7 linked regions of the Oryzias latipes genome follow. The protein of the gene in region 6 purifies or fractionates together with the protein of the main gene of each other region. This does not show direct contact. Links are inferred from orthologs where the notes say so. Each region holds a gene or a part of one and is shown on either strand. Other genes may lie near its edges. The genes, in order: washc5, cnot11, CCR4-NOT transcription complex subunit 7, cnot8, cnot9, capzb and mtcl1.

The links.
Region 1: the proteins of capzb (region 6) and washc5 purify together in Homo sapiens (co-immunoprecipitation; 4 studies listed by BioGRID and IntAct, counting the BioPlex papers as one, with this or other methods). This does not show direct contact. The link is inferred for Oryzias latipes from reciprocal best matches to the Homo sapiens genes CAPZB and WASHC5.
Region 2: the proteins of capzb (region 6) and cnot11 purify together in Homo sapiens (co-immunoprecipitation; 3 studies listed by BioGRID and IntAct, with this or other methods). This does not show direct contact. The link is inferred for Oryzias latipes from reciprocal best matches to the Homo sapiens genes CAPZB and CNOT11.
Region 3: the proteins of capzb (region 6) and CCR4-NOT transcription complex subunit 7 purify together in Homo sapiens (co-immunoprecipitation; 3 studies listed by BioGRID and IntAct, with this or other methods). This does not show direct contact. The link is inferred for Oryzias latipes from reciprocal best matches to the Homo sapiens genes CAPZB and CNOT7.
Region 4: the proteins of capzb (region 6) and cnot8 purify together in Homo sapiens (co-immunoprecipitation; 3 studies listed by BioGRID and IntAct, with this or other methods). This does not show direct contact. The link is inferred for Oryzias latipes from reciprocal best matches to the Homo sapiens genes CAPZB and CNOT8.
Region 5: the proteins of capzb (region 6) and cnot9 purify together in Homo sapiens (co-immunoprecipitation; 3 studies listed by BioGRID and IntAct, with this or other methods). This does not show direct contact. The link is inferred for Oryzias latipes from reciprocal best matches to the Homo sapiens genes CAPZB and CNOT9.
Region 7: the proteins of capzb (region 6) and mtcl1 purify together in Homo sapiens (co-immunoprecipitation; 3 studies listed by BioGRID and IntAct, with this or other methods). This does not show direct contact. The link is inferred for Oryzias latipes from reciprocal best matches to the Homo sapiens genes CAPZB and MTCL1.

Annotation. Positions count from the first base shown.
Region 1 is NC_019874.2:13,940,617-13,944,116, reverse strand, and holds part of washc5 (WASH complex subunit 5), read right to left. Parts: coding exon 3,424-3,500; intron 3,335-3,423; coding exon 3,182-3,334; intron 3,080-3,181; coding exon 2,966-3,079; intron 1,722-2,965; coding exon 1,550-1,721; intron 1,339-1,549; coding exon 1,211-1,338; intron 930-1,210; coding exon 800-929; intron 673-799; coding exon 560-672; intron 345-559; coding exon 178-344; intron 1-177. UniProt on the Homo sapiens protein: Acts as a component of the WASH core complex that functions as a nucleation-promoting factor (NPF) at the surface of endosomes, where it recruits and activates the Arp2/3 complex to induce actin polymerization, playing a key role in the fission of tubules that serve as transport intermediates during endosome sorting.
Region 2 is NC_019879.2:14,490,662-14,494,911, reverse strand, and holds cnot11 (CCR4-NOT transcription complex subunit 11), read right to left. Parts: upstream 2,801-4,250; coding exon 2,482-2,800; intron 2,403-2,481; coding exon 2,238-2,402; intron 2,167-2,237; coding exon 2,014-2,166; intron 1,692-2,013; coding exon 1,489-1,691; intron 1,105-1,488; coding exon 902-1,104; intron 787-901; coding exon 690-786; intron 605-689; coding exon 407-604; 3' UTR 100-406; downstream 1-99. UniProt on the Homo sapiens protein: Component of the CCR4-NOT complex which is one of the major cellular mRNA deadenylases and is linked to various cellular processes including bulk mRNA degradation, miRNA-mediated repression, translational repression during translational initiation and general transcription regulation.
Region 3 is NC_019868.2:26,784,432-26,788,481, reverse strand, and holds the start of CCR4-NOT transcription complex subunit 7, read left to right. Parts: upstream 1-1,250; 5' UTR 1,251-1,452; exon of another isoform or gene 1,453-1,682; intron 1,683-1,852; 5' UTR 1,853-1,859; coding exon 1,860-1,976; intron 1,977-2,585; coding exon 2,586-2,779; intron 2,780-3,933; coding exon 3,934-4,050. UniProt on the Homo sapiens protein: Has 3'-5' poly(A) exoribonuclease activity for synthetic poly(A) RNA substrate. Its function seems to be partially redundant with that of CNOT8.
Region 4 is NC_019872.2:29,379,670-29,383,621, reverse strand, and holds the start of cnot8 (CCR4-NOT transcription complex subunit 8), read right to left. Parts: upstream 2,801-3,952; 5' UTR 2,702-2,800; exon of another isoform or gene 2,531-2,701; intron 1,800-2,530; 5' UTR 1,718-1,799; coding exon 1,601-1,717; intron 1,467-1,600; coding exon 1,273-1,466; intron 832-1,272; coding exon 670-831; intron 1-669. UniProt on the Homo sapiens protein: Has 3'-5' poly(A) exoribonuclease activity for synthetic poly(A) RNA substrate. Its function seems to be partially redundant with that of CNOT7.
Region 5 is NC_019879.2:16,425,501-16,429,547, forward strand, and holds the start of cnot9 (CCR4-NOT transcription complex subunit 9), read right to left. Parts: upstream 2,801-4,047; 5' UTR 2,441-2,800; coding exon 2,423-2,440; intron 1,951-2,422; coding exon 1,765-1,950; intron 1,621-1,764; coding exon 1,505-1,620; intron 1,078-1,504; coding exon 968-1,077; intron 841-967; coding exon 731-840; intron 539-730; coding exon 440-538; intron 1-439. Other genes in the region: usp37 (ubiquitin carboxyl-terminal hydrolase 37), read left to right, coding at 3,919-4,047. UniProt on the Homo sapiens protein: Component of the CCR4-NOT complex which is one of the major cellular mRNA deadenylases and is linked to various cellular processes including bulk mRNA degradation, miRNA-mediated repression, translational repression during translational initiation and general transcription regulation.
Region 6 is NC_019863.2:2,090,747-2,094,853, forward strand, and holds the start of capzb (F-actin-capping protein subunit beta), read left to right. Parts: upstream 1-1,307; 5' UTR 1,308-1,608; coding exon 1,609-1,611; intron 1,612-4,107. UniProt on the Homo sapiens protein: F-actin-capping proteins bind in a Ca(2+)-independent manner to the fast growing ends of actin filaments (barbed end) thereby blocking the exchange of subunits at these ends.
Region 7 is NC_019875.2:4,684,046-4,687,545, reverse strand, and holds part of mtcl1 (microtubule cross-linking factor 1), read right to left. Parts: intron 2,306-3,500; coding exon 2,051-2,305; intron 1-2,050. UniProt on the Homo sapiens protein: Microtubule-associated factor involved in the late phase of epithelial polarization and microtubule dynamics regulation.

The sequences.
Region 1 (3,500 bases), on a different chromosome or scaffold from region 6:
AGGAGGAACTTCTGATGAAACATACAGGAAAGAGTCACTGCTTTCTTTTGATGACACAAAAACACAGACTGTCTGAAGTGAATGAAAAAACAAAAACTCCTTTAAGACGTGTACACTTTCCTCTCCTTCTCCATCAGGCCGCATTCTAAACTCATCAGATGCAGCAGACTGACCCACCTGTCAATGATCTGCCACGCGTAGGACAGGTCTCCAACGATCTGCATGGTGATGAGGACTTCCTCTTTGATGTTGATGGTGCGGATCATGTGGTGGAGGAACTTTCTGGTGTCTGCCAAAAACTGGCACACCTGCAAGTTGGACTCCAGCTGGTGGAATTCCTGGACCTGAATTCAGAAGAGGGAAACCTTCTGATGATGGTTCTTTCTATTATCGTTTAGATTACTGCACGAAAGCTCTTCAAAAGACCAAGTTCACGGAACATTACAGGAGCAGAACTCCAACTGGGATATGTTTGGAAGCATTGCTTTGACTTATTAGTTCTACATGAGACCAAGTAGATAAGATAGGACTAACACACTGATGTGCTCATCTCTCTCACCTCAATGAGAGCCTGTATCAGCTGAACAGTCTTCCTCCCAGCAGCCGTGGAGTCTTCGTAGTTCAAAGACTCAATCTGCTTTGAGATTTCCCGAAACCACGCCTGCAGGTTCTCTGCAAAGAATGGCAAAGGAATGTAAAACACAGAAATAAGGACCATCAGGATCCATGTGTGGCTTGGGGCTTCAGGGATTCAACTAATGCGGAGCTGTCACTGAGTCCAGACATGAAAGTAGCTCACCGTTCTTCTCCACCCTCGTGAGAGGTTTGACGCCAGAGAAGACTTCGGCCAGCTCCATCATTCTCTCAGATCCCTCTTTTTTGTAGTTTTCCCACTTGATCTGTTTCTCTGACAGCATCTGCTTGAACATCTGGAAAGGGGGGGGGGGGGGGGGTGGCGGCACATATGCTTATGACAAAGGGTTCGTCAGCTGAGATGTGTAATTAGTCAGAACATTAATTTTGCTTCTTTTTCTACGGAGAATCCGGCGAGCCATATGCTACCTCACTGTAAGGGATTTGGCTACGACGCCAGACGGCTCTAACAGGAACCAGACTGATCAATTTCAGCATTGGCTCCCCACTTTAGCTTAAAAAAGGGAAGTTAGAGTCTCTTCCATTGGTCACATAGTGAGATTTCCACGGATCTCACCTCCTTAAGTGTGAACTCAAACTGAGCGGTGTCCAGCAGCAGTTGGAACAGAGTCTTTGGATTGTACTTGGAGTCGTTCAGCACTTGGTCTTTGATCTGACGAAGGCGCTTGTTGTTTGGGTCGTAGGCTGAAAAGCACAAATCAGGATTTAGTGGCAAAAACAATGACTTCTCTAAATTATTATTTATCATAAATGTATCAGGGGGAAAAGATCAAGTCTCAGAAAGTATAAGAAAGTGCATCTCCTTGACTTTAAATCTTCTAAAATATAAAAAGAAATTGTTTCTCCCCCGACATATCTTCTTGTTTTTTGGCTCCTATCTGCTCTTGATTCACACCTGACTCTGCAGAATGCAGCATCAGCCAGCGAATGGCGACATTGCAGTCTCTCAGAGAGTTGAGCAGTTTGGGAATGTTGTCCAAGATGATCTCCTCCCTGAGGAAACCTTCCTTCAGCAGCTGCTGCACCTGAGGCCTTAGGCTCTCCATGCTGGCTGCATATCGAGAAGCCTGCACAGAGGGAATGTGGAAAAAGTTCATCCTTAAAGACCCCCTCTGATCATCCTTTAAGCCATTTTAAAATCATTCCCGGCGGTCTTTTGATTATGATTATGCCGCTTTTGGCCCAAATCAAATAAACTTGTGTTACATAGTTTGTGCAGAGCAGCAGTAGTTCATTAGACATTCATCTCTGAGTTGTGGGCAGGACTGTGGGTGCAAAGCAACCTCATCCCCCCTTTTCCCTATTGCGGAGCGGAGCAGGGAGCATATGGGCCACACAGCGTATTTTCTACGTCACCAATACAATCTTTTTTAAAACAGCATTTTTTCATCTGCTCCTGATTCACAATGATTTGAATAAAGAAATATTCAGAAATAGTATTTTGAGCTTCGTTCTCTTTATATATGTCCTCTATCGTAAAAAAAAAAAATGCAACAACAACTTGTTAAAGACACCAAAAACACAGTTTTCATTGGAGTGAGTCCTTAACCGGAGCAAATTTTAGGAGAACAGAAATGGCCACACCTGAAAGAAGAAAGAAGATCTTTATTAATTTGGCATGAGGCCGCTTTGCAGGGACCTGTAAAGCTGTATTTGGCAACACACATTCAAGCGGCCACTTCCGATGAAAAGTTTGTGTAATCGCGCATGAATGTTCATTTTGGGCTTCTATGTTTAAAACTCAAGCGCTCAAGTTTTTACAAGTGTTTTCAGGCTCTACGTACGAAACGCGGGGCCACTGAACTCAAGTTGAAAGTGAAATCAGGTCGAACTTTGACCAATCGGGGTCTTGGTTCTGGTAATGGCGTATAGATGGCATCCCTGTTTATTCACAGAAGCGCCAACCGTTTGAAAATCAAACATGAAGGAGAAATTAAAAACAGCAGAAAATCTATGACACCAAGTCCTTCATATATCGGAATAGAGCAGTGAAAGACAAAGGCAGGAGTAAGATTAGCGAGATTTGCACCACTTGGACATTTCGCACCAAGCCTCTTCCATCTGTAGGTGGCGGACATGCGCTAGTAAACAGGAGAAAAAGAAAAACAAGAAGAGGATCCTCCCTTCTTGTCCAGTGTGATCACCATGGGCTTTACGTGCATTCAAGGATGAGCTAATAGCGAGTGCATAAACGTGCATCAAATGCCCAGTGTGTACGAAGCTTCACTCCCACTTAACTAACTTTAGAAAGGCACAAATACTGAAAAAGGCGCTACAAACTCTGAGAAAGGGGCTAAAGGATTTGTTATACCTGCTCCTTGATGTTAGCAGCGTCCAGTGTGTAGTTGAGAGCTGTCTTAGCAGCTTTGTATGGTTCCCAGGCCTCTATCAGATTCACAGTGATCCCCATGTAGATGCTGATCACCTACACACCCGACAACATGGAGAGTGGATGATAACAATGAAGCCTTCACTTTTCCAGAAAGAAAAAAACACGTGTTTTATCTAGTGACTCGGTTCCCGTTACCCAGTTATCAGGGAAATACTTGTCTACAATCTCCCTCATCTTGGCCTGCTGTGTCTGCAAGATGGAGGGGTAGAAGAACAGGCACACGTACAGCATGGCTGCCTGGTTAGCCAGAGCTGTGCTGCGATGCTCAGGAAGAGGATAGGCAGACACCTGAGGGGTACAAACAACACGGCGAGAGTCAACACCCAACCGGACATCAAAGAGTCAGCAAAAGGACAAATAGAGTCAGCATTTCTCACCTGGTTGTAGATGTCGTCTGAGCGCAGCCTCCCAATGACCATGCTGATGAAAGTGGTGCTGATGGGAACCCTCTGGA
Region 2 (4,250 bases), on a different chromosome or scaffold from region 6:
ACTTTACCCTCAACATTTTTAAAAGCTAGAAAACTGGGAGCAGAAGAAAACGGTCAGAACTTGTGTCACGCTTTGCAAACATACAACTCTGCACACAAGAACCAAACACTCAACAATTTTATGGAGACAAAATAAGGAGTAAAACACTTTTGAGTTCAAATGTTTCACTGAGCTCCAGTAAATCTGCCGAAGTGATAGCAGCTTATGGAATTTCTGCAGCTTTGACTTAATGCAACATTTGATCACTCAGGAAATGACATCGAAAATAATACAAACTCGAGGGTTTAATAAAGAAAAAATTGATGAGTCAGTGACAAAGATCCTCCGCAGAGCTGCATATTTACAGCACGTCCTCTCATGACTGAGCTGTACGGCTCCCTGCTCCCTCTGATGTCAGGACTCCTGCTCATTTGATGGGCTTGGCCTCGGCCGGGTTCTCCCCAGTGTCCAGGGTCTTCAGAAGGCGGAAGAGGCCGGCCGCTTCACGGATGCGGCTGAACTCTATGCAGAAGGCCTGCACCTCGATGAACAGGTCCTGGACGTTGATGATCTTGTTTCGGATCAGCGACTGCAGGAAGACGCACACCAGCCGGACCAGGCGGTTCTGCAAGAATCAAGCGGGTTTTTATTCCAGAGGAAAACTCTTGAGCTCTCTTCAGCAGTTCACAGTTCCAAGAACGCGTGTTGACCTGCATGTATTTGTCTTTGATCTGCTCACACGTGGAGATGCAGTTGGAGATGTAGAGGTGGATGAATTCTGGAGGCAGATCCACAGCTGTGGTTAACCTGACGGAGGAGAGCAAACAACTCCATCACTTCCAAACTACAGAAACAGCACCAAACTGGAACCCAACTGGAGATTCGTTAACAGGTCTGAATACAGCCAAAGCCCCGCCCCCACCTGTTTACCACCTCCATGGAGTGCAGCGACATGTCCATGTTGACGAGCACTGAGAAATACTCTGTGATCTGGCTGCTCTGCATCAGTTTTAGCAGCATCTCGATGGCCACCAGTGGGTTGTTCTCCACCAGCTCAGGCAGCTTCACAGGCGTCAGGCCGATGTGATACACCAGCTTTGGGTCTTTCTCCAACTCAGCCAGCAGCTGCACACACGGCGAGGTCAATACAGAGGAGTGACAGCGGTGCACAGCAGTAGGAGTCAACGCCTCCACAAGAAATAATTTGTCTTTTAGGGAACGGACGATAAAGTTTTTGAGTGAAGGGAAAAATAAAGGTTGATTTTTTTTAAGACCACCAGAAAACTAATCCAGGAAGACAAAGGTTAAAAAAGAAACAAATACTTTTCCCACAAATTGTGTTTTTGTTTTGATAAATCTTGATTTAAAAATGAAAAAAGAGCAGATCTGAAGTTAAGTTTTTGTTTCTTTGCAAAGAACAGGAGTTCCTATTTTAAATAAAGTTTTTATTTTAACCCTGACTTTGCCTTTGTGTAAACCAAACATGTTGTTGATCAGCATCAGACCTACCTGGGACTGCTGCTGAGCCGACAGCGGACTCTTGAAGGCCTTGGCCATGATGCGTTTGATCTCCACGCCGGTGCTGTTCTTCACACACATTGACCGATCCCACTGGATGCAGTGGTCCGGCTCGGTGGGGTTCAGCCACGCCAGCTCATCTTCGCATGTGTGGAGCGGAGGCGTCGGCCGGATGAACTCGGGTCGAAAATGACCTGGGAGGGTTTTGAGAAACTGGTACTTACCATGCCTCATAGCAACACCTTCAGACAGACGGCCTTTGAACAAAGTCTAAATACTTTAATATAAAACTACTGAAAAATGACATAACTTCAGCAAAAACCTTCTAGACAGTCACTCAAACACTTTTTTTTTTAAAGTATCAGTTAAAGATCAATCGCACTCAACAGATCAGGTCGGCGCCGATCAACCTGTAACCGTGAGTTTTTGCTGAGGAGACGGCTACCATCTTTTCTGAGGAGATTCCTTCTTTCTTCCACAGATGTGATCACAGCTTGTGTGAAAAAAAGCACTTACTCTCCAGAGGAGGACGCAGCCCTGTGACCAGAGACTCAATGATCTGATTGGCCACAGAGCTGTCGAAGCCTGAGTTGGAGGAGTCTGGATCGGGGTCGTTGAGGATGCTGGGGAAGCTGGCTTTGCTCTGGGTGGGCAGCTCTGACTGGCGCTCTGCAAAAAGAGGGCTGGGATTGACGGCGTCTTCACCTGTGATGAGATGTTTCCTTACAACCTTCACTGACCTGCTAAAGGAAGCTGCAGCCCGCTGATGTCTATAGATGGGGGCATGTTGCTCACGTCCATGCAGGACACCTGTCTGGGGGTCTTTTTGAAGAGGTCTCTGGGCGGAGCCAGCATCAGCTGGGACAGGAAGAACTTCTCCGGCTGCGTGATGGGAGGAAGGAAGCCTGGACCCAACGAAACAGAGACTGAGCGGCTGCGGTTCTGATGAGACGTCGGGCTAAAGGTGAAAGGAAGCGGCCCTACCGGACAGGGCTTTCTCCTGCTCATCCCCGGAAGGTGCTGGGTTTAGCAGGTGCGCGAACACGGCGGCGAACGGGTTCGCGGCCAACGGCTCGGTTCGGTACATCTCCCAGAGCAGATAGAGGGCTGTGAGCCGCTGCGGAGAGCTGGGCAGCAGGTCCGGCTGCTGCAGCAGCATGACCAGAACCGAACCCACCTTGAAGTGGTCCGCCTTCCCAAAGTAATGATGGAAATGAGTGGAGAGGGTCTCGAAGCTGTTGTTGCAGGCCTCATCCGAGATTATGCTCAGCAGGTTGGACAGTTCCTTTGGAGCCAGAGTCATCGTTTCCCCGCCACAGTTCGATCGGATGCAGAGATTGACCGGGGTCCCTGATAAGTCTTTCTGTATAACTATAGCGGCGCTCTTACCCGCTTATTCATCTTTGAAGACGCAGAGTGGAGGACGGTGGCCCAGAAGTCATCTCGATTGAGATCCTATAACGCGGTTAGCATCAAGTTAGCCTAGCTTAAAAATAAGCTACAAAACCGGGAAACTCGTCAAAACATCAATCATCTTTTTAAAAATAATTATCCAAATAGATTAAATGAACGTATAACTTATCAATCGAACCAAAGAGTTACAAAAGATAATATTTCCAGGACTGAGAAAGAAATAAGACCCTGAATGGGATAGTGCTGCGAGCCATTAGCTTGAAGTATTTTTTAGTCGTATTTTCCGGTGAACTGCATCTTGGGTGATGTAGTTTTCTTCAGTTTCTCTCCAGTCCAGCAGGTGGAAATGGTATATGAATTATTCCTACCAAATAATCGTTCACATTTGTTTTATTTAAATAGATAGATAGAGAGGGAGAGGGAGAGAGAGAGAGTTAAGAGAAGGTAGAGATAGCAGTACTCTGCCTTTTAGGCTCAGGTAAGAGACCTAAATTAAAACCCATAAGTTAAAACGTTTTACTAGGGACTGAAATTTGAAGAACTTCTCTTATGTTCGTTTTAGGTGATGGTAATCCCTAGGTATGTTACACAGTGTTGGAGTACAATGTCTGTCACCATAGACGATCTCTGTCTGATTATGTTATTACGTAAGCATGCGCCAATTTTTTTTACGTGCAGTTGAAAATAAAAAGGAAGGCGCAGCCTCTCATCATAGTCAAGACGAAGTGAGTGGGGAGCTGCACTTCAGGTTCAGAATGAAATGTCTCCTGTGTCCATTATTTAAGAGTTAAGAAGCAAACACGGTTGTGTGTAACAGGGATGTCTTTAACGGCTTTGGCGTCGGGAGAGAGTTCCCGAGCGGCAAGAGAGACAACTGCTGCTGCTGGAGAGCCAACACACAGTTTCCATAATTTTTGGTGATAGTAATCCCTAGGTGTGTTACATGTATGTGATGGGAATTTTACATATGGATCGTGTTTTGTCAAATTTGATAGGTAGTTCTTCACATTTTTGATGTTAAGATGAAGTGCAGGGCCATTAGAAAAATCTTTTACTAGATTTAGGGCTCGGGGAATTTGACTGCCATCTTTAAAAAAAAAATGTTAATATTAATATCATCTGTATCTAGACGATCAAAAACAAGCCAGTATATGGCTAATATGTGACTGCCGGGAGATACTTTTGTTGCTCCATGTAAAACTTGATCTTGTTTGGATTCTTCTCTCCAAGGATCTTTTAAATGAAAACTTTGTATAAATTAAAGTAGTTCAGCATTAGGATTATTAGTTTGTAGTGGCCATCTATCCAGTCGACAATCTAACACCATATTCAGGTCTCCT
Region 3 (4,050 bases), on a different chromosome or scaffold from region 6:
GTTTTTCACGTCCCCCAGCCGGGACTTGAACCGGGGGCCTTCTTGCTGTGAGGCAAGAGCGCTAACCACTGCGCCACCGTGCAGCCTAAATGCAATAATATTTACTAAAAACGATTTTTTTGTAATCTTATATTAGCCACTGATTTTTTTTATTTTAGAAAAAATTACATAGTGGGAGATTGTCCCATTTTGTCTTTGTGTTGCAAATAAATAGAAGATGAGGAAGTGAAGCAACAATATGTTTATAAATAAATTATTTTGTTTTAAAAAGTACACATCCTACCTGAGGATGTGTACAAATCAAGAAAATGTGGGTCATAGTTTCAGGTTTGGCATCACAAAAAGAACCACTGGTGTCATCATTTTTGCAGCTGTGTAAAATACTTCATGCCCGAATTTATTCTCAATGTTGAAAAAACTTCCTTTGTGAATGAAGTGCTGGAGAAAATGAAATGTTATGAATTACTAACTTACGGGATGAGGGGTTAAAGGTCAAAGAAAAAGAAAAAGAATGAAATACAGATAACATAGAAAAAAATTAAACATTACAAAAATTACATAAGGTATGAAAAATTATAAGGGCATTTACACAACATATTGGTTATTGAGGGTTTGTGTTCAACAATAAAAGTTAAAGGTAAAATCTTTTTCACCCTAAATGTCCTCTAGTCCATATTTGTTGAAAATGTTTCCCTTAAAGATGTCAATCATATGCATTCTTTTTTTTCATCTTAGAGTGGTCATAAAATGATCAAAATCAACAAAAATGCGAACGTTGGATTATGATGCGTCTGTGAAAATTGTACTTTTTTATTAAAACAAGTGATTTGAAAAACGAATTTATCTCTGCATCATGTTTTACTTGAATTTAAAATGTGGCCTTTTTGGTTTCATGGCTAACATTTTTATTTGTGTAAAACTTTTTCAGTAATTTACCAAAATAATATAACTTTAGGGGCAAAAAAAAGTTTATTTTACTTTAATATAAATTGAAAAGAAAATATATTTTGTGAAAAAATAAAAAAAATCTGTACAGTATAATTTTTAAAAATAATATATCCTTTGAAAATAATTATATATACACTTTCAACGAGAGCCTGTTCACCTTGAATAAATTAGTAATTAATAAGAAATATATAACGTTTATTTGTACTTTTTAAAATTTATATATTCCTCTTTACAAACATTTATTGGAAAACCTTTTTTCACATTTTACGGATGAGGATCCTGAAACGTCCTTACGTCCTGACGTTTCACTTTACGTAATGACGTCACTGTGTGGGGTCCGCTGTGATGGCAGCCGTAGGTTGACATCAAGCCCCACTGAATATAAAAGTATTTCAAAGTTGGCGGAACACCCCCCTCCCCTCCCTGCTGACAGATATCACAGAACACACGGCCAGCTTTCAGATAGCACACGCTCAAACACGCGCGCGCCCGTTTCGGGGAACGGTGAGTCAACGAAACAAAACCTTTGCAGTCTCCCAAAAAAAAAAAAAAGAAAAGAAGTGACGCCCCGGCGTGTGTGCGCGCGCGCGCACTGCTGCTACTTACTCGTGCCTGTCCTGTTGTACAACCACTCCTGTGTAGTTGATCGAAACTAATGTTTTGTGTGAGAAAACCGCACAGTCGCCACTCCTCTTGTTCGGAAGTTTTACCTCCAACCCGCTAACTGTTAACAGGTAACAAGCTAGCAACAGTGCTGCTTTAAATTACGAGCTAGCAGGCGGCTAAAACACACATGACTTCTACTACTAACTAAGCGGCTCTTTTCATGTGGTTTCGGCTGCTTTGTCTGTGTTTTCATGATGCTCTCATCATCCCCCGCCCCCCATCTCCACGCGTGGTGAAGTGGCACTATGCCCGCAGCCACTGTAGACCACAGCCAAAGAATATGTGAGGTCTGGGCCAGTAACCTGGAAGAGGAGCTCAAGAGAATCCGGCACGTCATCCGAAAGTACAACTACATCGCAATGGTGAGAGATGCTCAGAGACCCCACCCATCCATCCACCTATCCATCCACCCACCTATCCATCCATCCACCCATCCATCCATCCATCCACCCATCCATCCATCCACCTACCCACCTATCCACCCACCCATCCACCCACCCATCCATCCACCTATCCATCCACCTATCCATCCATCCATCCACCTATCCATCCATCCACCTATCCACCCACCCATCCACCCATCCACCCACCCATCCATCCACCCACCCACCCATCCACCCATCCATCCATCCATCCATCCATCTACCCACCCACCCATCCATCCATCCATCCATCCATCCACCTACCCAACCATCGATCCACCCATCCATCCATCCACCCACCCATCCACCCATCCACCCACCCATCCATCCATCCACCCACCCACCCACCCATCCACCCACCCATCCATCCACCCACCCATCCATCCATCCATCCACCCACCCATCCATCCATCCACCTACCCAACCATCGATCCATCCATCCATCCACCCACCCACCCACCCACCCATCCATCCATCCATCCATCTATCCATCCTCCCACCCACCCACTGTCACTGGTGTCCACGGTCCCTCGTTCTTGCCTCTTTCAGGACACAGAGTTTCCAGGAGTTGTAGCCCGACCCATCGGAGAGTTCCGGAGCAATGCCGACTATCAGTACCAGTTGCTGCGCTGCAACGTGGACCTGCTGAAGATCATCCAGCTGGGCCTGACCTTCATGAACGAGCAGGGAGAGTACCCCCCCGGGACGTCAACGTGGCAGTTCAACTTTAAGTTTAGCCTCACGTGAGTCTCTCACTATGTCTAAACAGACTCGTCCGCTTGGATTCCCATGAACGACTTCACAATCTGTAAAAACAATTCAATTCAAAACACATTAAAGTCCTATATGCCTTTGATCTATTTTAAAAGCATTCCCAATCAGATTTAAATTATGGTTATTCCGTATTTTAGCCACACACAAAAAAAAGTTGTCATTTTCCTGGATATAGTTTCTGCAGTTTCTACCCTTTATTCTCCTTCCTTGTTGCTGAGAGCTCTCTGTTTACACAATCTCCCGGTAGCTTACAGCCCCCTCATACCGCCTGACCTGATATTGACCGGTGCAACAAAAAGGGCGAGCCAGCTCAGACGAGGAAGACGAAGGTTAATTTTCTTTATGTATCATCAAAAAAAAAAACCACCACCACATGTTAAGCCCTCCAAAAACACAACTTACATTTTTTTTATCAGAGGGGGTAGGCGCACAAAGGGGATTTAAATTAATCGAAGAGAAAGCATCCTGAATGAAAATAGGAGTTTTTATATTTAAAAAAAAAAAAACAGATCAAAGCTGCCTGAAAAATACAAGTAATTAATGAAAAAAATAGCAATAATGCATGCTCTAAATAGGAAGCACAGGTGTTTTTTTAATTGTTTTTTATTGTTAAACAGATGGGGTTTTTTTTTACTTTTTTTACGTAAGCTTGGGTGGCTTTTTAAAAAAAATTTTAAGTTATGTTTGTTTTGTGAATCATGTAAAACATCTAAAGATTCTTGGAGAAATCCATGGTGGATGTTCTGGGACGGAGGAGGCGGGGCTTACAGGAGAAGCATTTGTCTTTCAGAATAAGAGCGGCGCTTTCATCCCTTCTCACACGATTGGTCCCCCGTGGGTTCAACGATGCTTTTCAAAGTCAAGCGTTATTCTGTCCATCGTTCCCAAATGGAAGAATTTGCACTTTTTCCAGCATCCAGTCAGATCCTAGTCGATCTATTCCTGCCTTAAGTTTTTTTTTGAAGGTTTCCCTCTTTGCTGAGCAAACCTACAAAGTTTAAGTTTTTTAATGGTTATTCTGTGGCGTTTTGTTTGTTGTTTTTTTGGAATGAAAGCGTGAAGCTTAGAAACAGAGATGTGTTTTATTTATTTATTTCATTTATGTATTTATTGTTTTAACCAGAGAGGACATGTACGCGCAGGACTCCATCGAGCTCCTGACCACTTCAGGAATTCAGTTCAAGAAGCACGAGGAAGAAGGCATCGAGACGCTGTTCTTTGCAGAGCTGCTGATGACATC
Region 4 (3,952 bases), on a different chromosome or scaffold from region 6:
ATAATCTTGAACGTCATCTACATTATATCGTCTAAGAAACATCAGCAGAACCAAAGAGGACTAAGATACCAGTTTATTGTGGAGTTTGTCTCCAGCAGGTCAGACTGCTGTAACGTCTGGACCCAGAAAAGAAGCAGCAGTTCATCCAGAACGCTGCTGCTCCGCTTCTGATTTTGACCATCAGTCCCGAGGTCACACAACAGCCTTTCAAATAGTTCTGCTTCTGTTCAAGTCTCTTCATGCTTTAGCATCAGAGATCATATTTGGAATGAACCAGAGGCAGAACTTTAACTGGAGCTCAGAATTCAGCTCCATGCAGCTAATCTCTGAAATTTCTCCCTGAAGATCCCAGAGAAGTTTTTCCTCTGACAAGGATTAAGTTCAGAGTAAAAGAGATGTTTTTGACCTGCTTACATTGTTTTATCTGGATCTCTATTCTGGTGTTAACCCATAAGTACCCAGACCCATTTGTTGTTTAAAATAAAGTGCATATTTTAACCACAAACCAAATGGACCAAAGAATCCATTTCTGATATTTTCTGTTACACTGACGTCACCGTGGGTTCTACTGGGTTAAAGTGATTTTAATTATATTTTATGATTTCTGAAAGATCAAACAGAAGACCCCCTCCCACCCCCGTTCATGGAACAAGCCAGCAGACAACCGACCTGTGGAAGGACAGCCACTTGACGTTCTCACACAGAACCAGACCCGACGTCATGAGGAGCTCGGCGAAGTACAGCGTGTCGATTCCTTCTTCTTCGTGTTTTTTGAACTGCAGACCCGAGTTCTGGAGCAGGTCTATGGAGTCCTGGGAGTACATATCCTCACTGCACACAACGTTAGAGAACATCAAGGATCATTTCAGGACTTGATCATCTTATTTCACTAGAAAACCTGTGAACCTTTCACTTTTCAGAGATTTATGAAAAGGAGTAAACAAAAATGTAAATCAACCTTTTTTTAATTATTAAAATACATCTAATAAAAAAAAAAAAGTAAAAAGTTCATGCAGTTTAACACCACAGTAGAACAGCTGAGGCACAAACTTCTGTGTGAAATACTGTCTCCTAGTGGAGAAGTGGCTCATTGCATCTTTCACAGCCTGTTTAAGGCTTACGTACTGGAGTTTAATTTACAGGCGTCTCTGTTTATGTTTTTTATTATTTTTAAAGACTGTTGTCATCATAGCACATAAGTGGCTTAGGCTGCCAGCAGGTTGACAGGAAGCAGCGAACGTTTTCAGTCCCATGAGACGACGAAGCACCTACGTCAGGTTGAACTTGAAGTTGAATTGCCACGTGGTCGTGCCGGGGGGGTAATCCCCATCCTCGTTCATGAATGTGAGACCAAGCTGGATGATCTTCAGCAGATCCACGTTGCACCGCAGCAGCTGGTACTGGTAATCTACCGTACTGCGAAACTCGCCTATGGGTCGGACCACGACTCCGGGAAACTCCGTGTCCTAAGACACAGAAATGCAGGGTTAGGACACTCCAGGAAAGGAAGAGACTAGCACACATTTGCAATCACCACATTTACGTTCTTTGTTTTTCTTTTTAGAATTCAACTGTCAACAAAGAAAGGAGAGCCTGTAACCATGGCAACGTAGTTGTAGCTTTGGATAATTTGCCGTATCTTCCTCATCTCTTCCCCCACGTTGCTCGCCCAGACTTCACAGATCATCTGGCTGGAATCTTGAAGAGCAGCTGGCATGTTGGCAGGTTCCTAGGAGACCCGACGGTCCTGCAGGGCTTCAAGGGGGGGTGGGAAGGGGGACCGTGCAACAAAAAAAGAACTGCGAAAGGAGATTTAGAAAAAACGTACTTAAATCTCAGAGTAATGCCGTCAAATCATCACAAGTATACAACATAAAAATAGGGAATCTTTGGAAGCTGAGCATCTAATAAGAGTCTACTTAATTTATTCAAAAGTTACCCAGTCATGATGGCATCATTTACTGATCTAAGGTCAAATGCAGGGTCAAACCGTGTCTTTACTCTGTCCTGCTTTGACCCCTTAACAATTGTTTCCCTGTTTCACAGCATCAATTTGATTCAAAATGCTATTGATAGATTGAAGACTAACTGCTTTCTGTATGTAATAATCCACCAAGTAGTCTTGGGTGTCACCATATATTTGGTTTAAAAAAAAAATCAGTTCAACAGCAGCACTGAAAGTTACATGGTAAAATGACGTTTCTGTAGTCTGTAACTGGGATTTTTACAGTCTACCTGACGCGTTTCCACATAGATCTTTATATATAATGAAAGTACACGCTGTATGGAGGCTCTCAAAACGAGCAAAAACTAACAATAAAAATAGAAACAACAAAGAACAGCATTAAAAAAACGCTGTTGTTGCCATGACAGCCGACTCCGTACTGACTGTAGTGCGGAACTGGCTTTACTAATTTAACTTCAGCCGAAATACAAATATAAAACCGATATTTTCAATCATTCTAACACTATAAATAAAACAAATATACTTTAAAATTGTTCTTAAGCAGAAAAGAAAATGAAAACAAACCGTGATCGATGCTAACAGTTAGCATAGACGTTAATATTCGCGCGCGGTCAAGTTGCAGAGATGACGCAGCATTGAAGAATAAATAAATGACGTGGCCCTGTTAAAGTGTTTAATCTGACTGAAGCTGCCCGGGAAAAAAAATGTAGTCGTTTAATTAGGTAACCGGTTTACCTTAAAATTCCCTCGACACAACGCTGTCGTCTGCTTCCTTCATTTCCTACCGTCTCACTTCCGGTTTGGAGTGGACTATAAACGTGCACACTGCCCCCTGCCGGTCCGGAGCGGAAGCTCCACAACGCTACTTCATTTGTTGACATCCATCCATTAAATAAAAATGTATGACTTATCTTTACATTTTTTTGTTACTTAAATATATTCATATGTCAAATTCATATTAACTACTTCAACACAAATTTTTTCCTAAAGGCCCTCATCCATGCAGTAAATGGGTCATTCATTGTACCTTTTTAATAAATTATAGGAATAATCATAATAAAAATGTCAGAAATACAAAAAAAAACACTATTTAAAAAAAAGTTTGTAAACTGAAAACAATAAACCCAAATATGTAACTAAAATGCCAAGCAGAGAACACATTAGAATAAACATTATTTATCAAACTATATGATGGTTATATTGTGCAGGACTCAACCATGATAACCTTTGTAACGGTTCCAATACACATATAATTAAAATGTAAATATGAATTTAGTTTAACATATGAAAGACAGCATGAGACATGTAGGTATATCATGTTTTTGTTTGAATATCAACATTTCATTGAAACATTCATTACTCCTTGTGTTTTACAGGTATTTTCATGTGAAACTGTATTTTTAATGTATAAACGAATGTGTATTTCTTTCCCCAAACACGCATCTGCTGAGCGACGCGGAAACCTAGATGAGGTAAAAAATGGTGAAAGAGCAGCTGCTGCACATGCTGCTCCCTCTGTAGTTCCCTCTGTAGACCATGTGATACCAATGACCATGAAAGGAAAAGATTTGACAAAAAGTCACAGGAAACTAATGAAAAACAGCGTTCAAATCGGTCCATCCGAACCCTTTTATTTTACATTTTTACACAATTGAATGAAGTGAGTTTCAGTCCTCCACAGAAACATCATGTTTAGCACAGAAACAGCTGCAGCTTTAAGGGAAAAACACAGAAGAACAACTTCATAATAAAGTAAAACAACAGCAGGGGATTAAAAATAAGGAAAATTATTAAAAAGAGGGTGTGGCTTTGAAGGCCACCTTGCAGGTGAAGCTGCTTCTGCTTCGTCAACGCAAAGTGACTGCAGAAGCTTCTTTATTGATTAGTAGTAAAATGACTTCTGTCTGCTACCGCCTGGGGGCAGAACCCATCCTCCCACGGGACCCCACCCCTCCATGTAGCACTAAGCCTTGGTGGAGGTTACAA
Region 5 (4,047 bases), on a different chromosome or scaffold from region 6:
TTGGGGGTATGTCACCCGGTGCATCTGGCGCGTCGGTGTTCCCCCTGCGCCTCAGTCACCACACCACTTAAAAGGGATTCCCCAATTATTACCGCCAGTCTCTCATCAAGAGAGGTCAGCTCAGGCTGTCATTGCCAACAAAGGGTTTTCCACCAAATATTAGTAATGACCATTTTGTTTTCAGTTATTTAATTTGTCCAATTACTTAGGAGCCCAAGAAATGAAGGGATTGTGTTTAAAAAATGCTTTAGTTTTTCACATTTTTATACAATCTTTTTGTTCAACCAAGGCTGAAAGTCTGCACTTCAATGGCATCTGAGTTGATCTGAGAGACACGTTAGAAAAAACGTGTCTCTGTCCAAATATTTATGGTCTTGACTGTACATCTTTATCACAACAATGCTATAGGTGCACAACACAAAAATCCTAAAATACTTACAAGAATCATGGCGACATGGGAAAAACGTTCATAAGTCTGACATATGTAAGCCAACCCAGTGTCATCCAGCAGGATCTTTTGCAGTATGAAAGTAGCAACCTGATAAAAAAAAAAGAATTATAGTCAATGGTAGAAACATGAGTTAAATTCATACCATAGATAAATGCATGAGAGTAGGTTTTAGAAAACCAAAACCCAAATCTGTTAACACATATTTTGAATGTTTGACTCCAAAATCCATTTTTTTCTTCCTGCTTGATAAAAACTGCTTTTGATTTCATTGGTAATTACCGTCTTGGAGAGTTCACTTCCAGATTCCATGATGCGAAGACAGAGTGGGATGATTTCCGTAGTAAGAAGGAAGTTTATCACTTCTTGTTCATCGGTTTTCACCAATGCACCTGTCAAGAACACACAAACAAATCAAGATCTGACATAAACAGAATTATCAGAGCAATACCTAAAAGAGAAGACTTTTTAAATTAAAAGTAAAATCAACAAAAACATGATCTCAGCAGGAGAAATTACCTATGACTCCTAGACTGGTAAGTCGCAGGTACTCAAATGGACGCGTTTTACTCACAGTGTGCAGAAAAGGGTAAAGGAAAAGAGGAATATGGGCAGCTAGAAATGCTGACCTGGTGTGGACAAAACAAATAAAATCATATTAATCAATGTAACACATTAAACCTTGCAAATGGAAATAAGTTCGTTTTTTTTTTTAAATTATAGTGAATTGAGGAATTACATAACAAAACCTTAATATTAAACAATTTATTTAGACCATGGCCTTAATAAAAATGAAAATACTATATTTATTATCTTTTAACCGCTTTAAACTGAAGATCTGCAAAGGCTAAATGCTGGAAAAATCCACTATTCTGTATGATGTATGTATTAAAAGTGACTGATGACTGTTACTTTTTAAACAAATAATAAACAAATAAATAAAACAGATTGTGGTCTGTTACCCCTTTAAAACATTATAAGAGCAGTTAATTATTAGAATTACTAAAAATAAAAAATAAAAATCTGATTTTTCAGTAACAATAACTATCTTGTTACCGTGTCTCTGGATGTGAGGCAACACACTGCAAAAGTGCCAGGGCATTACACACTCTATTTGACTGGTGGGCTGTAAGGGTTGGTGGGTTAATAGACGGATAGATGTTTACTATTTCCTGAAAAAAAAAAAAAGGAGGACAATTTAATTAACAAAAGGAGTTGTTTAACACCACTACAAAAATAAAGACCATACAAGAGGCACAGATGCACAAACAGTCCCAATGGGATGACCTGTGTCAAATGAACAGGTGGACCAATACCTGCAACAGGGCAGCAATGGTGCCACATGAATGCCAGAGCATTGGGGCCAAGTCTGGCACGGATTCTCGCTTCTTGCTGAGCTCCAGCAAAGCATTCTCTCTAGTCTCTGGACTGGACAACTCATTGATCCACTGGTAAATCTTCTCACGGTCTACTTGGGCCAGGGCTGTGACGTTGGTTACAGCCTTTGATAGGAAGAAAATATCAATCCATTCGCAATCAATTCTTTAAACAAGCAAACAAACGAAACACTCAAGAACAAAAACATTACGCTAATTAAGATATATGTAACCTACGTTTAATTTCCCCCTTCTGCAAACCCAAATCATGAAGAGGAAATGACAGCGTGTAAATTTGTTAAATGTCTGCTATGACAAATTGGGGCAAAATCAAATTATTTGTCAATTTAACTACAAAAACGTCTCATGATTTGCCAACTGCAATACATGTATACCAAAACCATACTGTACTACATTTGTACGAGGCTTTCATTAATATTATGCAGTCTTTCTTTGAAAACTGCAAAGAGAAGTTCTGCTTTAAAATTAATTCAATAAAGAAAGCTGAAATTTGGGAGGAAAAAAAAGATTTTCGATGTACTTAGGCGAAATTGGAGGGAACGTCACCGTGAGAGCGATGCAATAGTTTGATACTCACCGCTCCCGTTGCCAACATTTTGGAAAGCTTTTCGGGATCTCAAAATACTCTTTTAATAGAAAGTTCGTCAGTTTGCACCTCTTCGCAATACTCGACCCTGAAATCTCACCGTAAGAACCATGGACATATGCTTACGAACTGCTAGCTTAGCTAGTTGCTAGGTGCTCTAACAAATGGGATCCACAACATGCGTAACTTCACATAACTTCAATCGAAATCCCAACACTGAGAACTACAGAAGCACAAAAAGAAATTATTGTCGTTATAGTATCAATAAACCAAGTTTACACTGGCATTTTTTTCAATCTCGCGTTTGATTTTTTTTCCTCGGCAGGGACAACTTCGCTACAAACAACGTCTCAGATATCGCGAGAGGAGAACGGAGCGCAATCTCGTTCATCATTTCCGTTGTAAATGTTCCCATTCCCGCCATCATCGCCCGTTGCTGTGAGGCGTAGTGTGCTGCTCTACTTGCAGCAAACATACAGAACAGCAGGTGAATGCCGGCAAAACCTTTTTTATGCTCTCGAAGGATCTGCGAAGTCAAGTCCACATTCTATAGGTTTGGAACCACCACCGTGATCCTAGACAGGTAATGAAATGACGATGGCACTGAATGTGGTTGTTTTCATCACCAAATTACTGTGTTAGCTAGCTCCCGCTAGCTTAGGAACCAGTGTTGCTAATGTGGGCCTCTTCCATCATATTAAGCGTCTGTTAAAGAAACAAAAACGCCACTGCATGCTTCACATTTAATATTAGATTCATGTTATTCGACTAGTTCGTTGATAGACTGATATTTTTGTTTATATCGTTTGAATCTATGGTTCTGGCCGCGCCACGAGCATCACAACGCAGCTCAAAATGTGTTGCTTCTCCTCTGCAACATTGGAGTTGTCAGTGTTTGTTGTTTAAATGCAGGCTCTACACAAACATGTTTAAAACTAAAATTCAATGACCGTTCAGGATATGCAGTTTGTTATATTTTGTGATTTTTGTGGTGCAGTAATTCATATTGTACTGTTATGCTAACTTGTCACTTTGGATTATGAAGTCCTACCTTTTTCCTTTACTTCAAACCGCATTTGCCATGTTGGCTACGTATCTACATATCTCATATTAGTTTTGTTTCTGTATCTTTTATTTATTTATTATTATAATTTTGAATAACACATTTCAAGTTTTTAGCAAATGTTATTGTTGGCTACAAATTAAATCACTTATAATCTTCAGAATGGCACGTCGGTGCTGCATGTTCTGTAAAAAAAACAATATAGCAAACTAGTTACAAAAATACTAACTTCTTGTTATGTGGCATTTAGCAATGGTAAAAATATTCATTTAAACTGTTTATTTGGTTAAATAGCAATAGCAGTCATAAAAGTGAGGTTGTTTTTGCCATTATAGGCTACCCGTGTGACTATTTCTTGACATGTTTATTTCTTTTGTACATCTTAAATTCAGACCTAACAAGTGGACCATCAGGATAGCAAGCCATGTCAACTTTTGTGCCCAAACTCTCCAGTGGTAGCACTGTCAAGATTCGCTTTAACACCATTGAGCTGGGCGGCACCAAGTGGAAAGAGGGAACCTTTGAAATTTTGGAAAAGGATAACAGAGTTAAT
Region 6 (4,107 bases):
AATTGCTACAGCAGTTAAAAAGAAGAATGACAGCAATGTGCAAAAGACTGAAGGGGTGCTCAAAATGTGCAAAAATAGAAAAAGTAGCTACTCTTCATTCTAGAATTATGTTTTTTTCTTCCCATTCCTCAGTTTTATTGTGAATTTCTTTTTCTTCCTAATCTCTGTACCTCTCATACTCTCAATGTGAGGACTATTTAAAAATTTTGCAAGAGAGAAATGTTATTTTGTCTCCATAATTTACGTTCAGGTCTTCCTTTTAGGCACCAGCTGGTCATAAGAAAATTAAACCAACAAAATTAGGAAAAATTTGTAAAATAAAAATTTAGGATTTATTATACAAAAACAAGCATAAAAAATTCCTATAACAACCAGTCTAATGCTGAACCTTATACTGCCCAAATTCTTCGACAGGAATTCATGCACAATTTCAAATGTTTTAACGTATGTTAGCGTCCCCTGGGAAAAAGTACAGTTTATTGTATGAAGTATACTTAAATATAACTAAAGTATGTATAGCTACCATAGACCGGGAAGAGTAGAAACATTTCTTTAGACTAAATTGGAACATCCTAAGTTTGCAATAAATAGATAGTACCTTTATGAAAAGTAAACTTCAAGTATACTGCCTCACTTTTAGCATCGACTTGTAGTACACTTAAATAGATATATTTGTGCTAAAGGGTGGCATGAAGAAAAGAAGGACCTCTTCATTAAAGCTGATTGCAAATGTAAATAACTGTGGAAAACATGTTGCCTTTCTTGAGGCCCTGAACACGACCTAAATTCATTTTAACGTCAGAAAAGCGGAGGACATAAATACTACTCTTGTCTATGTTTAGCTTTTTTTAATATTGAAAACATTTCCTAAATGCTGAGGAAATGCCAAGACTAGTCCAGCCTTTTGTCACAAGTTTATCTACATTGAAGTCTGACTGCAAATTTAAGTCAACTCCTAAGTTTTACAACTCATAATGACAGTTGGACTGTCACAAAATGTACTTTTAAAACAACTAATGGAGACACCAATCATATGCATTTAATTGCACACTCCCACAAATAAAACACAGGAAGATTTGGCAGTGATGTCCTGGAGGTCAAAATAAAGGGAACACATTAAAAACGGTTGCAGTCCCAAAGCTCAAACAGACAAACTGCCAGCATAACTTCCTAATTATCTATTTACAAGAGCAATGCTTTTAACTTCTTCCTATAGACCGATGCTATACTGTCTTTGCAGCAAAGTGTCTTCCGCCCTCTCCGGCTGCATACTTACACCTCCACTCCTCTCTTTCCATACTTGGCAATACCTCTTTTGCTCTGCTGCTATTGGCTGCTGCTGAGACAGCCCGGAGTGACCCGGATGTGCAAAGCGAGGCCTGTTTTCTCGCCGTGGCCTCCTTCCTGTAGCCCGGTTGAGGAAGTAAATTTCGCTGACAGGGCTGGGTTCACTGAGGGAGAGGCGAAGAAAACATCTTCCGCAGGGGACTAAAATACAAATAAAAACCACAAAAAGCGAAAAGGACGAGTTGGTAAATTAAAAGCGAACCTAGCGCGTACCGGCATCTGTGGATCGTGCCCCCCTGCCCCGCTGAGACCGCCGCAGACATGGTGAGTAAGGGCCGCGGCGGAGCTGGTGGGAGAGACGGGGAAGGGTTTTGGAGGGGCTGCGGCTAACTATACGCCTTCAGGTGCTACGACAAGCGAGCAGTGGTAACATGAGAGGAATAAAAATAAAAATCACAGAGGCATCCAACCGTAATGAGGAGAGTAAATAAACTAGGACCGCTGTTCATGGACGGTTTGCCCGTCTCTTCTAGCATGTTTAGGTGTTAGCTAACTGTTACTCGGGCTACCTGCTAGGCTAGGCTTAAAGTTAGCACAGGATGTTTTGGATTTGACACAAGTTTGCTAGCAGCAGTATCCAAGACCCCAAATATAGCAGACATTGAAACTGGTTGATCTAGGAGGCGGCTGTCGCTAAAATAAGACTCGCTGCTCGTATTCCTGACCGTGACGGGCTGACCGACTGCCTCTGCTGCTGCTGCTGCTGCTGCTGGGTTTCCTGCTTGGGGAGTCATGACTTCCTAAAGGAAAGAAGACATTTACCCCAACAAGAAATGCCACAAATCAATGTTGACGTTTGAGTTAAACTAATGTTATTGTTCTCATTTAGGTCAGAAGAGCCAGACATCACTGCCAAACTACCAACAGTTATTTAAAAGATGAATAAAATGCAGCATTAGATGTTCAATTCTACTCAAATATTCATACATTTTTTCTAGATTACCTTCTAAAACCAAATTTGTTTAGACAGTTTTCACTTAAGAGCTTCAAACTGATTTTAGGGAAGATTTTTAAAAAGAAAATTGAATTTGTTCATCAAAATCTACCAGAAAGCTTTTGTCTGAACAAATAAAAGCACATCAGTCCATAGTGAGGATGGAAAGGTGCAGCATAATCAATAGAGGCCAGCCGCCACTTTAAACACTTTAGGTTGTTTTGTAAAAAAAAAAAAAAAAATACAAATGTTCAAAGCATTTGAACTATAATTCATTTATTATAAACATAAGACAAATGTTGTGAATGTCAAAGAATTTGATTAGTTTTACGCCAAAATAAGAATTTGTTCGCATCATGAGTTTCATGTTTCAATACAGGCTAATGATTTTCATTTGGTATTTCTAATAAAATCTAAATAATTATAACACAACTGGGTGAACATTTGTTTGTGTCCTGATATTGTTTGAACTTCCTGAAACCTTTCGAAAGAACAAAAACTAAGGACTTTTCTATCGTCTGTTAGTCCCATAAAGACCTGATAAACAAAAGGTTTGTTGTTACGTTTTAGTTTGAAAGGTTGTCTCACAAAACTGAGTTTGACATGACAAACTGTTCATTCTTATCCGTTGTAATGTCTCCAAACATTTAGCCTCTGCAGGTGTTTTAGACAACTTTCTGTCTTCCCAGCCATTTCTGTCCACTTTGTTTCTAAATTGCGCAGAACCAAAACATAAACCTACCATAATCAAAGTTATTTGACTGTTTAGAATATATTACAGAAGTCTGACTTGAAAGCCGGTTTTTGCTTGGTGACTGTTGGACTTTTCAAATGTCACATGAATCTTTAGTAACTTCCTAACAGTTTTCTGTTTCTGGAGCCGTGGATGTTTCTCTAATATTCATAGTTTGTATGAGGAAGCAGACAGTGACGCAGAAACAATAACTCAGGTGGAGATTAACGATAGAGGAAACCCAGAGTCCAGCTTTGAAGACATATTTGTTTTTGACTTTTTGAAATTTGGTTTTTGTTCAGGTTTTGAGCTCCCATCTCTGTCCTGCGTGGCTGAAAGCAGGAGCAGCAGATGTTGTTTCTCTGGAGTCGCCTTTTCTCTGAGCCTCGGTCATAATCCTGACCGTCCTGCCTTGCTAGTCTCCCATGACCCCGGGGCCTGTTGGCTTGAGCTAGTATTTACACAGAAACGTGCGAGGAACGGAGGTGACTGATGATGCAGATTAAGATCAGCTAAAAGAGGCTTAAAGATGGAGCCAAACAAGTGACTCAGAGGTGGAGAAATTGCTCCCCGGAGACGTTTTTTTCAGACTCTTAAGGAATGATTTATGGAGGGAAAGATTTTCTGCACTCAAACAGGTCGTCGTCGTTCGATCTGATAGCTGATGCAGCACAACATTTGTACAGTTTGTACACATTTGATCCTTTTTAACTCTGGGCAGAAGAATATTCAACAAAAGAAATGAGTAGAAATAGATGTAAAAGACAAACGGTGGAACTAAGAAACCGTTTTTTGTGACACGTTTCTAAATTATTTGTAATAAGATGGGTTATAAAACCTTTTCTAGTTGTCATTTGTCACAGTTAAAACACATTTAGCGTTTCAGTTTTTAGCATCAATCTGATCTGCTGTATCAACACAGACTAGCCTGTGAGGAATGTTTATGTGCAGAGAACTGCATCCACATGTGAGTTATTTATGTCGCCTCATGGCCTCTTCAGTTCACTTAAGTTAAAGTTTTTTTTCCAATTTGAAGAAATACACCTTTTGTGATCTAAACACTGTGTTTAAAAAAAAAAACTGTGGTTAAGTC
Region 7 (3,500 bases), on a different chromosome or scaffold from region 6:
CTGAAGCTTTAACACGAATTTGTCCGCCCTTCAATCAGAAACCCTATTACTTTCACAGAGTGTTAATGTCTTAATGAAAACAGATTAACTGTTTTTAAGAGATTCCATCCATCCATCCTTCAGAATCCATTGAATCCGTTTCTGAGGTCACAGGGCTGCTCGAGCCTATCCCATATGCAGTTGGGTGACGGTGGGGTACAACCTGAACATGTCAGACTGGAGAAAACCCACACATGCACGAGAGAGACATGCAGATTCCACACAGAAAGGTCCCAGGATGGATTTGAAGCATGGCTTTCTCACTGTGACGCAAAGGTGCTAACCACTACACCAGGAGAGGGCAAACTAAGGCCAGGGGCCACATGCGGCCCGTTTAATCTGGAATAAATTATATCGGTGATCCTTATTATTTCCCCTGTAATTCTGGTGTCTCTCCATAGACAGGGCACAAAAAAAACATTGTTTAGGTGCAGAAAGTGATTCTGAAAATTTTCATGTATGTTTTCCGAGTTGGACAGTCATATTTCTGATCTTTCCAACACCACTTGAACACAGCATTTCTCTAAGTTTGCGTTTTTCCCTGAGGGACATCAACCCATTGGCTCTGAAATGAGAAAATTCAGTTTTTCCTTTTTTCTTTGAGAGTTTAAACCATCCGTAAAATCGACATTAATCTTGCCGCTTGTGCCAGGAATATAGATTTTATTAAAATATATAAACACTAAACTTTTTTTTGTCAACAAAAGTGGATCCAGTTTTAGTGCAGATCCGATGAACTTCTCTGTAGCTTTCAGCCCTCTAAACTGGACCGGAAACAGGTTCTGTGTTAAATCTCATGTTCAACAAACAATCAGTCCTTTTAGTTCCCCAAAAGTTTCCAGAATACTATAGATAATTCACTGTAAGCATCCTGCTCCAGACCACAGTTCTAACGTTTTCAGTGTTTCTGAGCCGAGCGTCGTCTGCTTGATTGTTTTCTGCAGTTAAATGCTGAACTCTGCATCCCTGCCTCTGCACTGATGGCTGTGCTCTGTGACAAATCAGAAGTTTGTTCTGCTTCGTGTTTGACCCTTGTGCTATCCTAGGCACTTCAACATTGGGAGTTGGGTCATCTAGACCCACTAGACAGTGCTCTGAATCTTTTTTCTTCAGTGATTTGTGATCTTCACTGGTGTCCATGGATTACATGAAATCTATCCACCTTTATCCACCTTTGTCATGGTAGGGAGAACATGTCAATGTAAGGGGGGGGTCATCTAAGATAGCACAAGGGTGAACAAAAGCCTCACACCTGTATTGTGTAATGGTGGTTGAGGTGGGGTTGGGGGGGCTGCTTCCTGTCCATCAGGCACAGATGAGGAGCATGGTTGCAGTCAAATACAGTGATGTTTTTACTGTACTCTGCTAAAAATGAAACAGATTCAATTTGGAGTTGGGAATTTTTCCTTCTTTTTTCTCTTCCTTCTGCTGAGGTTTATGCAGCAAAAACATTACAGAAGATTTGATCTGAATAAATACATGAACTATTTCTGACTCGGCCTTGAATTTAGAGCATCATTTTACTGCGCTGCTCTGAAAATCCTGTTTTGGGTGTTTCTAACATACTCTTGTGGCATTTTTCTGATGATAGACGACATATATCAAGAAAATTAAGCTTCAATTTGCATTCAAACCCTTTACATCAGAGTAAATGAAGCCTCACATTCCTTTCTGTTTGGAACGTGAATAAGTCCTCTATAAATTAGTTTCACTGAAACAAAACCCAAAGTTCCAGAATTGACGACAAACTGAAACAAGCTGTTGGATCAGTGTTACCCAACCCTGGTCTTCGGGAAACACCGTCCTGCATGGTTTCCATGTTGCCCCGCCTATGCACACCTGATTCATCATCGGGCTCTGCAGAAGCCGGACAATTCATCAAGTCATCAGAGGCAGGCGTGTTGTAGCAGGGTGGGATTAAAAAAAATGCAGGACAGTTTCCCGAGGAAACACCGTTAGATGATGAGAAGATGAATGTTCCTTGTTTTTCGGAAACTCCGCCCTCTCTCACCCTCTCCATCTTGCGGTGCAGCTCCCTCATGCTGCTCTCCCACTCCTGCCGCTCTCGGCTGAAGCGCTCCAGGAGCTCTGTCCTCTCGCGGCTCCACCTCTTCTCTCCGTGCTGCAGCTTCCAGCGGAGGTCCAGGGATGTGCTGTGGCTCTCGGCCAGAATGCGCCGATGCTCCTCGCGCTCCTGCTTCAAGGCCCGCTCGGGCTCCGGATCGACCTCCCCCCCCTGCGCCTCGCCCCGGGCCTCCTCCTCCAGCTGCTCAAACAACAGACACAGAGGAGTCACTGCAGTGAAAAATGACAGAGGACACTCTGAGTCTGTTCATTTATCATGTTTGTAGATGAAGGCAAAGTCAAATCAGCAGCAGCAACTTCCAACTCAAGAAGGTCACTTTTACAAGTTTGTTCATGTCGTTCTCCAAAGAAATGTTATTAGACTCTGAGGTGCTGATGATTTTGAACATTTGTTCAGTTTCTAGTCAAATAACCTGATTAAACGACCAAATTCTCCAGCAGGAAATGTTTCCATGAAATTTTGAAAGCGTTTTACAAAAACGTCTTCCACTACAAACCTGTTTAATGTAGCAGCAGGTCTACTGTCAGTCATTTCAATGTTGTCTAAGCCAAATTTCAAATGCATTGTCAAACAAGCCATTCTTTTTCTACGCATGCCTTCATTTAAGGAAACAAAGGTTCATTTCACCAGCAGGTTTTAAAAAGAATGAGCAGCGGCTGTGAGGCTGAACCACCCAACACCAGACGCAGAAAAATGCTGAGCTGGGAGAGACGTCCTCTGCTCTGATGGGCTTCCTGAAGCCCATTTCTGAGCGCATAACCAGAGGGAAGCAGAGTGGAGCAAGAAGAGGGCTCCACATGGCCTTATCAGACAAAACTAAGCACATTAGTTCCCTCTGCAGCCCTCGCTGAACTCTGCTCTGCTGAAGGACTCAAGCATGTAAGAGCCTCGTGGATTAAAAGCCGGAGAGTTGAAAAGATAATCTGCCGTCTATAGTTCAAGCCTCCTAATTGGTTTAGAGATGAGAGTTTTTCTTCTATAAGATACAGGACGCATCAAGAGGGACTGTGTCTTTGCGGCGTCTGACTGGAAGCAGTTTTTCTCTGCATTGCTGGTGGCAGAAATCCGGGTCTCCTGACTTTAAAGAGGTAAAAACATATGACGGTTCAATCAGGCTGAGCAGGAAATGCTTTTGTTTTTCTCTATGCCAGCAGCTTGGGGGTTCAAACCAGTGACTACAGACTGCCTGAAAGCAGATTTTCGTTTGCTTCCTCTGTAAAGGCCAGATTAACGCAGCAGAAGCTTTGTCCAAAACAAAAGGAACCCAAAGAACAACCTCCAACAATGTCTTACGATGACCAGAAGTATTCTTTCCAGATCCAAATGACATTTTCTGGTTCCACACAGCATGAGGCCTGTAGAGTCTGAGATGAAG